2 linked regions of the Alligator mississippiensis genome follow. The protein of the gene in region 2 purifies or fractionates together with the protein of the main gene of each other region. This does not show direct contact. Links are inferred from orthologs where the notes say so. Each region holds a gene or a part of one and is shown on either strand. Other genes may lie near its edges.

Region 1 (7,523 bases), on a different chromosome or scaffold from region 2:
GCACTCCCGACCCAGAGTCCTCTGCACGCTCTGGTGCCCTTCACTTCCAAGCCACAGCCCCCCCCCCAGCCCTGCCAGTGCCCCTCACTCCCAACCCACAGCCCCCTGCTTCCCCCCAGCCCTGCAGCATCTATTGGTCGCCCCACCCCTGAGAGCAAGGGCACCAGCCTGGCCATGCAGCTCCCTGCTGCCCCTGAAGGGCTCTCCTGCTCCCTTCCCCCACTGGAGGGCAGATGCTTTCTCCCTGCCGCCTGTGCCCTGCTGCAGCACCAGCACCTAGACCCCTTCCCCTAGTGCTGGCAGGCAACCCCCCCCCCCCCCCCCCCACACACACACATTCATCTCCTCCACACACCACTGACACACACCCCTGAACAGTCCTCAAGCCCTGGCCCTTCAACCCCCGCCCCCCATAGACTTACCTGCAACCAGCTGCCAGGGCTGCTCTCAGCACCCTGCCAGGCTGCATGCCAGCCACGTGTGTGTGCACGCACACATGCACACGGTGGCCCTCTGCCTCCAATGGCTCTTCCCTTGCTCCGCCCAGCCCCACCCAGCTCCTGGCTAGGGGAAGCTGGGTAGTGCTGAGAGAAATATTGATGCTGAGCAGATCAAAATCCTGGACATTTGATCATATTTTTAAAAACTGCCTGGACAGAGATCAGAGGATCCAAAAAGAGGACAGGTGCAGGAAAACCTAGACACATGGTAACCCTATGATAACAATCTTCAAATACTTGAACAGTAATTGCAGAGAAGATGGAGATAGGTTTTTCTCTTTGGCTGCTGGGGACAGGACTAGGAGCAGTGGCCTCAATCTGCAGCAGAGGAAATTTAGGTTGGGGATTAGAAGTATAACAAGGAGTCAGAGGCTCCTATTACTTGAAAGGGAAAGCATAGCAGGTTAAGCTTGCTGTGGGGAGTTAGCTGCACTGCAATCCATACCAAAGGGCAGCCCCCGGATAGAGCAGAAGTAAAGACTGCTAGCAGTTGAGCTAAGCTATAAGAGAGAAGGGCAGAAGGCCATCAAGCCAAAGCAGAAATCCCTGTGTGTGGCTGGAAAGCCACCTGACAGGAAGGGGTGGGGCTTTGGAGCACATAAGATCAATGCTTGAGCTGAAGCTGAAAGTCTAACCCTGTAGGCTGCTAGGAAAGGAGTTCTGGGAAAACAAGTTAGCAAGCACCCAAGACGCCTAGTAAAGCTAGAAGGAAAAAACTAATGGAAGAAGCATGGTTTGTAGTGTGGCACTTGCCCAGAGTAAGGCGGAACTTTAATTTGGAAGTGATTTGCTTTATATTTGTGTTACATTTTAAGTTTGATAGTGGAGGACTAGATCATAGCTTTTGGGGTGGTATGGAGGCCACAGGGGCACCTGAGAGGCACCCTGTATAGAACCCCACAAGGGTCATGGACCCCAGGGGGGATGAGCAGGGTGAGACTGCAGCCAGATGTCTGGAGCCTGAGAAGAGCGAGACTGGAGCCAGGAGCTGAGCTGAAGTCTGAGGCAGCGGACCTAGACTAAAGGAGCACAGCCAGAAGAAAAGGGGCTGAAGCTGGTAAGATTGAAGCCCCAACAGAGGCTTGAGGCCTGATAGGGCCAAGTGCTGCATTGGGACCAGGGGGCCCCTCCAAAGTAATACCAAATACTACCTGTGAAGCATAGGTGTGGATGGAGGCCATGTATACCACCCATAAGGCAACTGGTGCCCTGAGGCACTAACAGGGCCATGAGGGCCACAACTGAGTGCCCAAAGGCAAAACTAAAGTGAACTGAGGGCTGGCTCTGGGACCCTGGGGCAGCCTCCCTAAACTCCATAAGAATTCTATCAAGGCATGGCTAGCAAGGAAAAAAGGGTGGGGGCACCCCAAGGTGCTGGAGTGGGAAAGAGGCAGCCAGACTTGCTACAAGGAGGAACTTTATTATTATAAGGGTGGTCAAGCATTGGAAGGGTCTACTTAGAGAAGTTATGGAATCCCCATCCTTGAAAATGCCATTCTTGGAAATGCTCAAAAGCAGTTTTGACAGACACTTGGCTGGGAAGGTTTAGTAAGGGATGATCCTGTCTCTAGAAGGGAGCTGGACTAGATCATAGAAAACTAGGGCTGAAAAGGACCTCAGGAGGTCATGTAGTCCATCTCCCTGCTCAAAGCAGGACCAGCCCCCATTATCATCCCAGCCAAGGCCTTGTCTATCCAAGTCTTACAAACCTCTGAGGATGGAGGTTTTGCAACCTCTCTGGGTAACCTGGGCAACCCTCCTACTGAGAGGTTTTTTCTCATATCTAACCTAAACTTCCCTTGTTGCAACTTGAGACTGTTGCTTCTTGTTCTGTTATCTGCCACCACTGAAAATAGTCTAGCTCCATCCTCTTTGGAAACCCCCTTCAGGTAGTTGAAGGCTGCTATTAAATTCTACCCCCTCAATCTTTTCTTCTTCAGACTAAATAAGCCCAGTTCCCTCAGCCTTTCCTCATAAATCATGTCCCCCTGCCCCCGAATCATTTTTGTTGTCCTCTGGACTCTCTAATTTGTCCATATCCTTTCTGGAGGGGTGGGGGCCAAACTGGACACAGTACTGAATAGAGGGGAATAATTGCTTCCCCTGAGCTACTGGCATGAATGACTGGTGCCTCCCATAACTGGGGGGGGGGCCTCCATGGTGGTGAGCAGGGACCACCTGCAGCTGCCGCTGGCAGTGTCGGGGGCAGGGTGGCAAGCAGCGACCACCCATAGCTGCTGCATCGGCAGTGGAGGGCAGTGACCATCTGCAGAAGCCAGTGGAGGCTTTGGCAGTGGCCAATCTCAGGGGGGCATGTAGCTCCCTGTGCCCCGCTATGCATTGCCTATGCCTACAGACAACACACCTACCAATGCAGCCTAGGATGCCATTAATCTTCTTGGCAACAAGGGCACACTGTTGGCTCATCTTCAGCTTACTGTCCACTGTAACCCCCAGGTCCTTCTCTGCAGAGCTGCTGCCCAGCCAGTGAGCCCCCAGCCTGTACCAGGGCATGGGTTTGTTCTGTCCTAAGTGCAGGACTTTGTACTTGTCCTTCTTGAACGTCATGAGATTCCTTTTGGTCCAGGATGACCTTGTGAGGTCCTTTCTAGCTCTGCTTTTCTGTGAAACCTGCACTAGAACAGAAAGACACAACTTTTGTTACACAATGTAAAATGCACAGACCAGCCTCATATCAGACTTCATAAACCTTTCAAGTGTCGGTCCAGGGTTGTCAAAAGATTAACTAAAGCCCCTAGCAAACATTCAATTAAAGGTGTCATGGGAGCTGATGCACGATCCCAATAACTGTGCTTCTTTCTGGCCATGCTGTATGTATGTGGCAGGGGCCATGATTGTGGGATCAGATCCCCATTGCGCCATATTGCTGGTTCAAGGGTGGCATGGGATCATGATCCTGGCAAGTAAGAGGCCAGTCAGCTCATCCCTGCTCCCAGCCCCTGGAGCGCGCTGGAGTCCGGGGCTCCTGTGCACCCTGCGGCTGGGAGTGGCAGCTGATCTGCCCTGGTTCCCTGCCTCAGGGACACGTTGCCCTTAGCTGCGATGTGTCTGAGCTGGGCGTGGCAGGCAGCTGAGCAGCACTCCCGGCCTCCTGAGCGCACAGGAGTTGAGGGCTTCCAAGGCTTTTTTTTTTTTTTTTTTAAGAAATTTGTTGTGTTCCAGCCAAATCAAGTCCAAATCCATGAGTTGGTCCAGAACCATAAGTGGCCCTGCGACTAGCAAACATCCTCCACCCCCATCTGGGGCTTCAGATATTTCCAGAGTTGTTTGGCAGGCATCCTATGTGCAGGCCCAAGCCTGGAGGCACGGGGTTAGGATGTCCCCAAATTTTGCCTGCCCTCAGCCATGCATCTGCAGGAGCAAGCTAGGGAGGAGCCTCCCATTTCCATAAACTGGTCTTTAAGCCCCAGCACCTCGGAGGGTACTAAACCACACCACAACAAGTTATCCCCCCGAGCGCTTGGGGGAAACTGCCTTCACCGACCTGACCCAGGTGTTTCCCCCGCCAGGTAAGCAGGCCTGCTGAGGAGGGCCATTGAGCTGGGCCACATGGGCGGTTTAGGGCCCAACGGGAACCAGCCACAAGGTGAACAGGACAACTGAGCTGGGGTGGTAAGGTTGCGGTTCACTCTGTGGTGCCACTGACACGGGCCCGGTTACTGCAGGACTCGAGTCCCGGGTAGCCGGCTCGCTGTTGTCAGCGCCGTCTGCCCAGAGCCACCGCTTCGCAGGAGCAGAGGAGCCCCGCGCCGGCCGGTCCCGTCCAGTCCAGTCCCGTCCAGTCCCGCCTGCCGAGAAGCGTCGGGGCGCGAGCTGGAGTCCGAGCCCGCCGCCGCCGGGACCTGCGGGACGGGACCCGCCCCGCCCCGCCCTCACCTGTGCGGGGGGCGGTGCGGGGAAGAGCCAGGGGCCGGCGGGGCGGTGCTGGGAACAGCCGGCCGGGCCGCGGGGGGAGGTGCCCGGAAGAGCCCGCTTCCTCCCCTCTGGCTTGGGACGGGCGCGGCGGGCGGACAAAGCGGCGCCGGGACAGACGCACGGACGGACAGCGCGGACCGCGCACCGCACCGACCGCAGGTAACTCCCGGCCCGGCCCGGTTCCGCCTCTTAGAAACTTTTCCTGCTGCCGCCCCCGCCCCGTGCGCCCCCTCCTCGGCAGGTCCCCTCCGCTGGGCCGGGCCGGGCCGGGGCCGGGGCGCTCGGGACCCGCTCCCAAAGTTTGCAAAGTGCCGAGCGGGCGCGGCGGGAGACCCGGGGGGCCCGGCTGTCCCGGGCAGGCGGGCGGGGCCGGCGCCGCCGGACGCGGAGAACAATGGCCGCGCCCGCTGCTGCCCTGTGGCTGCCGAGGCCCCGGGCCGGGCCAAGGGGGTGCGGGCGTTGCTTGGGTCGGCCGCGAGAGGGGCCGGGCGGCCCCCCCCCCCCCCGCAAGCGGCGGGAGGCGCGGGGGTGGGGCGGCGCTGACGTCACTGCCGTTCCCCGCGGCGATGCCCCCCCACCCCACCCCACCCCACCCCACCCCCCCCGCCCGGGCGGCCCCTTCCCCGCCCCCCCCCCGCGCGGACTGTGACGCGTCCTCCGGCTCCCTGCGCGACTGCACGGACTTCGGAGCCGCCCTTCCCCAGCCCCTCCCCCGAGGGGTGTTTCCCCCATAATCAGCGTGAGGAAGAAAGCCCCTTGCATGCAAGGAAACCTCCTCACCTACATTGTCGGCAGCTTTTTGGGCAGTGCTAAAAAGGCCTGAGCCCGGGACTTGTAAGGTGTGGCAGGGGCCCGATCCTTGTCGTGACAGCGGGGCCACGGCCCCTTCTCTGCCTTCCACCTTGCGGGGCGGGGGGTGCCAGGGAAAATGCCTTCACATGCCATGCTCTGGCACCGGTGCTGGGGATTGCCATCTTGAACTATCATGTGCTCAGCACTTTGCTCCCGCAGCTGAGCTGTGCCTTTCTTTACTGTTTCCAATGATTCCTGTTTCTTCACTAGCCTCAAATGTCTGGCAAATGCCACCAAACTGGGAAGGAGCAAACAGGTCACGCAGGATCCCTCTGTTACGCCCCCTCTTTCCCCAGCACCATTTTTAAGTGCTAGGACATTGATCCCCTGATTGAACAGCCTGCAGCTCTGTCCCGCTCCCCGCCCCAGCTCCAGGGTCCCATTCACTGCCCTGGTTGGGCAGCGCCCCCTGCCCCACTCTCTCCCTCCCTGTGGGGGCCTCGATCTGCCCCTGCCCTTCCCCTCCACAAACTTACCTGCACAGAGCTGCTCTCCAGGCTGCCCGGCTGTGCTCCTGTAAATGGGTTATTGGATCAGTATTGGCTGATATGCCTGATGAATAATCAGCTATGGGTATCGGCCAAGAAAATCTTTATTGGTGCACCCCTTCCTTCCATAAGAAAGGAATTTGAGAAATTAAGCAGGAGTAATTACACTGGGTATAATTTCAATTCAGGTTAAAATTCTACCTAAATAAATTTTCAATTTGTAGACTCTGGCAATGTTTGGGTTTTTTTGTTTGTTTGTTTGTTTTTATAAAAAGCAATTTCGCCATAAGCTTCAAGGGAAGCATTTCAGTAACTGAATCAGGCAAAAAAAATGTCTAAATTATCATTTCCTTCACTTAATTTTATCAGACCTGTGAAATGTTTATGAATTCATTGTCATTTACAGATATCAAACAGCATCTCAAAGTTCATAGAAGGGAAACTAAATAGTTCATAATGAGCCTGTTTATTCTGCGTACTTCAAAAGTTTAACACTGACCATAAAAACTGCAAGACATTTTCTTAAATGTTTTAGTTAGGGAGATGAGTCCTAATTTTTAAGCCATGCTGTGTGTTTTTCCCTACCACTTTAAACCTTTGATCTCTGCTCCAGAAGTTTTGAAAAATAACTGAAAAGGTAGAACTACCATATTTACTAAAATGTAAGATAACTGGGGATAGATGAAACTCATCTCAATAATTAGTTCTTCTTGGGGAAAGGGGATGAGCAGAGGGATAGAAGAATTTGCATATGGGTTATTTTAGACTAGGCAAACACAGAGAAGTGTGAGGAAATTTAAGAAGCTTCTGATAAGTGCATGGACAGCATGATGCCAAATGCAGTTCCTTATGGATAGTTCTTTTTAAAGAACGTTGGAGAGAGATTTTTATCTATTTGTGCACCATAGAGCTTGACTTGTTTAGGCTCATTGCCCTCTAAAACTTTAAACTTTAGTGGCAACCCAATTTAAAAAAATACAAATGGATTACAAATATTGTAATTATTAAAATAAGTGTAATGATAACTGTTAATAGAGTCTTAATTTATTAGATCATTATTCACTCCACTGCTGCTGCAGCCATGTGGAACTGTGCTGTATGCCCTCTGCAGAGCCAGATTGGGAAGCAGCTATGGCAGGAACTTGTGGTCTTGCTGCAGCTCTTCCGAGTCTGACCCTGCATGGTGTCTCCTGGAAACAGATGTGTGGGGCAAGTGAAACTGTCTGCCTTTATTATGTAACACAGACAGTGTGTCTTTCTGCTGCAGCTACTTCTCAGTTTAGCTCTGAGATGCCTCCTAGACAACAGGTGCATGGGGCAATTTCATCCCAAGTCACTGTCAGTGTTGTAGTACCCGTGGGAGGTTCTTGCAGCATCCTATAGTGCCACAATACCCCAGTTGAGGAACACTGTTATAATATGTATTATAATATAAACATATATTATTAGCATAATATTTACCCTTTCTGGCCATTGTTGGGGGCACGCTTCTGGCTCTGCACATCCCCAAATGTTTGCTTCCAGTGTAGCACCTGGACTTCCTATGTGTAGTTTCAGGTCATTGCTGGGATCTAGAACTGTCATGCCAGTTTCAGCCCTGAGTTATACCTTTGAACTCCAGACCTGGAGCTGTAATGGACAGAGCCTGGGGGCACCAGAGGGCAGGACCTAGGCTGCAGGTCCACCTGGCTGGCATAGGAGAGGTGCTGGGTTGTACATGCAGCTGAACATGCAGCACACTTGCGGG
Region 2 (7,363 bases):
TAACATAATAGTTTTCTAGAACTACACACAAAAAGTTTTTAAAATCCTAAGTTATTATGCAAAAACATGCCTTTATTTTTTTTCTGCAAACTTGCCATTTAAGAGCAATGTGTCAAAAAGAAAAATTTTCTTTTTTATCTACAAAACCAGAGTTGAGGTTGTATTGATGATGTCACTGTCACCTAGACTAAACAAGTATAGGTTGCATTATAGGTTTTAGAAGCATCACTAACTGCTGCAGAAGAAAATAAAATCTTTAAATGAGCTCCTAGCAGGCAAACAGTTTTCTACATAACGTTTAAAATGTATATGTTACTAAATAATCAGCCAGTCTAAGAATATTGGAAGTCCACCTACATATTCTGTTTCTGAGCTTATGTTCCACCAAGTCCATTTAATTCACTTACCACCAGCTCAAATAATAATAATAAAAAAAGAATAGTGATTACTGAAGTTACACCTGCCCTTGAATCCTCAAAACTGATTTCTTTGATTACACAATCACATTCACCATATCCTCAATTTATTTTCAATGCAGCACTTTTTATCTGTACCGTAACACCAAAGTACTGGTGCCTGAAGACCTTCACAACAAAAAACCCAAAAGCTGGGGTATACTTAACACCACCTCATCCATGTGCCTGGTTAATACTGACCTACAGAATCCACAAGTAGGCGTAGCAGGGTAGAGCCATTCAAAAGGAATTCAATCGCTGGGTTCTTTACTGAGGCAGCTAATAGTGATGCCACTTATTGTAGCCATTTTTCAAGAATAAATTTACTAGGAACAAGACCAACAGAGTCTTCAGGCAGTAATAACTTTCATTCTGTCATCTAAAGCTGAATTCAAACCAGTGACCTGGACCTTAGAGGAACTATAGCCCATTATTACTTATCTCCCCATTTCTACCATGTCTATCACCGTGATGTTCACATGTCATTGCCACAGTCATAATAAGCTTTAACATATCAAAAACTACTGTTTCCTGAGCATAAAATTGCTATATTTCTCCCCATGAACATCTGAACACCAGCTTCACTCTTGTCAACAGCACGGCTCTCGCTTTATTGCTTGAATACTGTGCACTTGGTTATTTCTTAAATTTCTCGATTTCTACTTTACTCTTGTGCTTATCACCAATTTCAGCAGAAAAAATAATAATTCATGTTTCTGACAGTAAAGCAAGGGTGTGCCCGCCTCCCTTTTATCCTCATTCTTTTTTTGTCTCCTGTGAGGCTTTTGCATAACAACCAGACCCACTGACAGAGCTTACAGAACAATTAATCAGGAAAGACAAAGGGCCAGTTTCTAATCTCAAAGGCTGAAAAAACAAGTTTAAACTCTATCCCAAATCCCACTTTTCCGATCATAAACCAAACCTCTAAGAGGACCAACACCTATTCAGTTCTGATTATTTTTTGAGCAAGTCAATCACAACTGCTTCACTACCCCGCCAATGAAGAAGTCATCAATAACTTGCAGAAATAATGCGTGTCATCTTTGTGACAAGGGTTTGAAATGGCAAAATAAGCAAGTTAAGAATAAATGCAAGTCTTAAGCATTTCAGACTTCTCTCTTAGAAATTAACTCCTCTTAACCAAGAGCACCAAGTCCAATAATGGAAAAAAAAAGTTAATAATGCATCTAACTTGTAAGGTTTTGTTAGCACTGCACATGACAAGGACAGCACCATTAAAAATGAAAAGGTGGCATACAGGCACAGGTTTATCAAACTGATTTCATACTAAAGCTCCAATTTTGTGACACTAGCAAAACTGCATCCTAACCTGATTCAACTGATCTTCAAACAAGGGAGAAATTGGATTCCCCAATCAGAATATGCCACTAACAAGGATGGCTACACAAAAAAGCATTAAAGCTAGTTCCTGTCCTTCATTCATATATAGTTTGGGCTTTCATTTAAAGCCAGCCCTGGGCAAAGAGATGGTGGAATAACACAGACCCCCGCTTTAAAGCTGGCAGGTGCAGAAGCAGAAAGGGAGGCAGGTCCGCTCCAGTGCCACACAAAGACTCGCCTAAAGAAACGGCAGGTGGGGATGGGCCAAGTTAAGAGCATAAGAAAATCCCCCCTGCTACAACCCTTGCCCACCAGCCCAAGAAACAACCTGGCCTTTTGAAGTGACCCAGGAAAACAAGTTTCCACAGAGGGCGGCAGGTTTGCCAGAGGAGCAGCACTGGTGCCCAGTCGCACGGAGCAGACGAGCCCAGCTCCTCTTAAGCCAGAAAGAAATCCCCCAGCTGTGAGGGATCAATGTTTCAGCACCTCATTTGCCCGCTGCCGCCAGCAAACCCTGGCGGGGAGGGGACACACAATTGCCTGGGGAGTGGGCAGAGGGAGAGAGGGGACGTCGGAGGCAGGGGTGGGCAGCGAAAGGCACAGGCAGGGAGGGGAGCCAGGCTCTGCACCATGGACAGTGACTCTGCTTCTGCCGCTGCCGCACCAGCCCTGAAGGAGCCCGGGGAGGCCAGGCTCGCCGCCTGCCCCAGCCCGAGCAGGGACCCCCACGGGGAGCTGCCCACCCGTCCTCCCCCGCCCCACGCAGCATTCCCTTTAGGGGGGCACCAAGCGCTCAACTCCGCAGCCCTGCCCTGCGCCCGCCGCGGCGGGACACGAGCTGCCCGTGCACCTGCTCCCCCTGCCGCGAGCCGGGGAACAAAGAGCCGCAGCCCCCGTCCCCGTCCCCGTGCCTACCTGCTGCAGGGCCGCGAGCAGCAGCAGCAGCAGCGGCGGCGGCAGGAGCCGGCACATGGAGGCGAGAGGGCGGCGAGAGTCCCGGGCTGCGCTCGGCGGAAGCCCCCCGGGTCCCGCGGCCGGATCGGGATCGGGCTGGGCTAGGCTCTCCGCGGATAAAAGGCGAAGCCGGCGCCGGGATGCGCGGGGACAGGCAGCTCCTCTCAGCAAGGAGCCGCCCAGGTGCCGGCGCGGCGCCCCCAGCCCTGCTGCATGCTGGCAGCCGGTGCCTCCTCCTCGTCCTCCTCCTCCGCCCCCGCCTCCACCTCCTCCTTTCTCCCTCCGCCGCCTCCCCGCCTTGCACGGAGCGCGGGGACAACAATGCCGAGCAGTCCCTGCCTGCGTGTGTGTGTGAATGTGCGTGCTCGGCTCTGCGCTGCGCCGCCCCTCCCCCGCCCCTCCCTCCTGCCGCGCGGCCAATGGCGGGGCTGCCCGGCCCGGACACACAGCAGCCCACCCGCGGGCGCCTGGCATGGTGCTGCAGCCCGGGGGGAGCTGGGCGGGGTGCAGGGCGACAAACCCCGCCACAACCGCGGGCATTGCAACCGGAGCCCCGCGCTGGTGCATCGTGCATGGAGCCACCTGCGGGGAGGGAGCCGGGCCTCGCCATTGCCGTTGCGGGGGGGCTCCGCTGCTGCTCCACACGATGGCGGAGGCCGAGGAGCTGGGGGATGAGGCGGCATTTGCAAGATTGGCGAGGAGGGTCTCCGTGTCCCCCCGCACGCAGGTTGCGGAGCGAAGTTGTCCGCCCGCCCGCAGCGCCCAGCCCGGGACAGCGGGAAGGGACGCGCGTGGACATCCTCTTCCCCCCCCCCCCCCCGCACGCAGGCTCCGGCGTTTGCCGATTCAAAATGGTGCATTGTTGATTTTTGTCAACGTCTCCTTTTACACTTGAATTTGCAAAAGGGGGGGAGAAAAGAAAACGCGCCAGGCTCCGGCTGGGTTTTTTGTTGTTGCTGTTGTTGTTGCTGGTTGAGAAGCGAGCATGCTGGATGCCGAGCGGGGGGGGGGGGCTCCGGGGCTGCGAAGGGAGGGGAGAAAGCCATCTACTTCGTGCAGCGCTGATTGCACGGGCGGCCGCGACCAGGTGGCTGCTGCTGCTCCCCGCTCCTCCCTCGGCCGCTCCCTGCAGCCTTTGCACGGGACCCCAGGGCGCCCCCCTGGTGCCGAGGGCTGTGGCCGCTCGGCCAGGCTCTGCCGCTGCGCCTTTGCAAGAAGGGTGCTCGGTTGTTTGGCGAAAAGGGAGTTATCCCCCCCTCCCGCGCCACAAGCCCAGGGGAGCCTTAAAGCGTCTTTTCTTCACGAAAGAAGAACCACCCCCATGGGTTGCAAAACTGTACAGCTGAAAAGGTTGCTGCTGGCCCTCGCTCCATATTTGTGCCAGCAGCTATGAGCACAGTTGGGGGAACTATGAGTGAAGGGGGCAGTGGTAATGAATTTCTGGGCACTAAGCTACAACTGCACTGCTGCAGCAGGGGGGGGAGGATAAGCCTCCTTTAATTTTCACTTGAATTCACATGCTCTTCATCCAGTTTTCACCCCAACCCCTGTGTTAAGTTGTTGCATTTTAAAGAATGCAGCCGGGATAAACCTAAACCTTCAAGTGCCAAGAGATATTTGCCTTGTAAGTAGATATGATTGTTAAGTGTTTAATTCTTTTATTATGCTGAAACCGTCTGCTTTCATTCATCCAAAGCTTTATGTGCTTTATAAAATGCAAGACAGACTATACCAAGAAATCTAGATGCATAAATACCGTGTGTGTGTGTGTGTGTGTGTGTTAATGTCCAATGCAAGTTATTACCCAGCAGCTAATTAGGCTCAGCCCCTCAGCCAGTCCATTCCCCCTCAGGTCTGGAAGAGAGAGGCTATAAAGCTTGTCTGGAAGGTTACCAGATCTAAGCTCTGGCTGACAGTTTTCATGGTGCTGCTGCTTCCATTAAATTACTTAACAGAAATAGTAACACTAACATAAAAATTGCTTTCCCAACACCTTCCTACTGAATCTTTTAGTCTTCAACAAGCTACTGTCAAATTTACATCATGATTTTAACCAAGAACAGATTGTGGCTCTTTTTCCCCCCAGTGTAAAACTACCATTAGGAGGCACGCAGGGCAATGCAAACACGTTTTTCCAAACCAACCATCTATAACTGCTCATACTCACCTTTTATTCTTGCTATTTTAGAAAATTAATATTATGCATAAGAAAGGTACTACCTAAAGATACATATAAAATTATAGAACATGGTTACCTGCAGTAGTGCAGGGCAAGACTCAGTAACATAAAATAGTCTCTCCAGTCTTGTATTGTCGTATATCCAATCCTGAAAGAGTTGATCTTCTTGTTTCATGACAGAATTGGTAACAGTAGAGTAAGTTTTCCTGAATCACTCTATCTACCTCAGCAATAATCTAGAGTAGACACCTCTATCAAGAAAAGAGCTACTACAACACAACTGGTCTTGTTAAAACTGAAATAAGTACTAGTGAATTTTTTCATCCTGTTTTTTTGTTAAATGGATATAGGACCTGGAGAAAGACCACTGACCCTTTTCATGTAGAACATGCAAGAGCTAGAACACAGTGGCAATATCTGGCCTAGACCAAACTGGTTGACCAAGAGTTCAAAAGGTTCTCCTGTACCTGTAAATGGAAATAGAAATATGTTGTAGCTAAGAAAACTCACGGGCTTCAGTAAAATCCCTGTTAAGATTACGTGACTGAAGTTTGGAGAGAGTTTTGATGATTTTCCTGCCTCTAAAGGAGTCAGCCTCTTTGGATTCCATTAAAAACATGTCCAAGTTGACTTTTATCCCTGGAATTCATAAATGTTTAAGCCAAGTGATCGTTTTGATTTTGGATTGATTTTGCTGCAGGAATTTTGAAAACTGCTTTTCGTGGATGACGATATCATTACATTCCACTTGCAAGGCACCCCTCCTTCCCCTCACCGCCCTCTTACTACTATTACTGTCCTTGTTTCACATTTATGTAAATTGAACCTCTTGCTGTCCGTTTTGGGTCCAATCCTGCAAATTCACAAAACTACTTTAACCAATAATATAGTTCTAAATTCAACAAAAGTACTTGCACTCATATTACCCATGTTTATAAATGTATGCAGAAATAAGGCCACTTTCCATTTTTAGTAAAAAAAACCTATACAAATAAAAAACCATGAACATAGTATCTAGTGTGCTTTTGTTGACTAAGTCTTACTGTTGCTTCATTGGTTACAAGAAATGACTTGCGTTTACCTAACTAAAAGTAGATTTCCCTAGTTCTTCACCTGCCCTTTCTAGGAAGGCATATAACCCTCTTATGGAACTTTAGCATTAAACAAAGATTTTAGCAGTAGGTCTTCACTGAGATTAGAGTAGGCCAGACAGCTGTGGTAACTAATTAAGTTTACATGGGTTATGAGTACTGTGGCAAAGTTTAGTGCCCAGGACAAAGCCTGCACCAGCAGCCCACCCTCGCCCTGCGCATAGAGCTAGGGGGCCACTCACCGCTCCCCCACCGCATGCTTGCCGGGGAGCTGCCCCCCCCCCTCCTAAATAAGCTGCTCATGGCTCAATCCTGTGCCCCACCCCAGCTGGGCAGCAGCTGTTGGCACCCCTTCACTTCAGCACCCGGGGCGGTTGCCCCACTTGCCCCCCCTTGCTATGGCACTGTGGGTTATCCTATAATACAAATAATAAAACCATGAAATAGAATATGGCCAAAGAGGAAGAAGATGGATATTACAGCATCCATTGAGGAAGAAATCAAAACAGCACAAAGTTGTGAGATATTTGCAAGAATTTCAGAGTTCAGTCTAATTCAAATGTAAGTGTTAATACTACTGTTTTTTCACAGCTATAAAAAGTGACCCTTTATATATCTCTTTTTTGATTTGGTTGGTTTTTTCAGAATGTAAACTAACGATTGTTGCCCAACTGAAAACAACTAATTAAGGGTCCAAGCATTGTCTCCTGTGGGGAAAAAAAAATGCAGCAGGGGGAAGAGAAAGAAGGTTGGGAATTTAGTAATCTTGACTAGGTAGAGTTTTCTAATCTATTAAAGGAGTCAGGTACTCTCCAGAGCTCCTTGGCACCTCTCAGCTGTCCTTGTGAACTGTATATCCATACTTTGTCTCTCCTCACTCCCACCCCCCCAAACACACAAGGTGCACACATTTCTCTTCTATTTATAAGAAGATGGGGGGGGGGAGTAGTGGGGGCTGAAAGTGCAGCAAATCAGTAGCATGCCCAACTCAGATTTATTATTTAAAAACAAAACAGGGACAGAATATATTAATCTGGTTAGGGTGGGAGAAAGCTGCTTGGGAGACTTTTGTACTCTCCAGCCTGTGTTTGCAACTCCTCGTTACGGTTCACATCTTCATGTTAGACAGAGTATTAGATATTAGGAAAGGACTATTGTCTGTTCTTATACCAGTATCTCATTCTGGCAACATTGCGACCTCTTAGCTGAAAAGCAGAGCATGCTGGTGCATCTCAAGTCAGCTACCCAGCAGAAGGGGAAAAAAGAGAAATCAATGTTGCCAAATCTAAGAGTAGTGCAGGATCATTGATCTGGGAATGTGCAAGCTTGGTTTCAAGCTA

What was found.
Region 1: the proteins of CDH2 (region 2) and CTNNA1 purify together in Homo sapiens (affinity purification with mass spectrometry; 4 studies listed by BioGRID and IntAct, with this or other methods). This does not show direct contact. The link is inferred for Alligator mississippiensis from reciprocal best matches to the Homo sapiens genes CDH2 and CTNNA1.

Annotation. Positions count from the first base shown.
Region 1 is NC_081832.1:45,891,957-45,899,479, reverse strand, and holds the start of CTNNA1 (catenin alpha-1), read left to right. Parts: upstream 1-4,510; 5' UTR 4,511-4,595; intron 4,596-7,523. UniProt on the Homo sapiens protein: Associates with the cytoplasmic domain of a variety of cadherins. The association of catenins to cadherins produces a complex which is linked to the actin filament network, and which seems to be of primary importance for cadherins cell-adhesion properties.
Region 2 is NC_081826.1:83,733,195-83,740,557, reverse strand, and holds the start of CDH2 (cadherin-2), read right to left. Parts: upstream 3,005-7,363; 5' UTR 2,772-3,004; coding exon 2,715-2,771; intron 1-2,714. UniProt on the Homo sapiens protein: Calcium-dependent cell adhesion protein; preferentially mediates homotypic cell-cell adhesion by dimerization with a CDH2 chain from another cell. Cadherins may thus contribute to the sorting of heterogeneous cell types.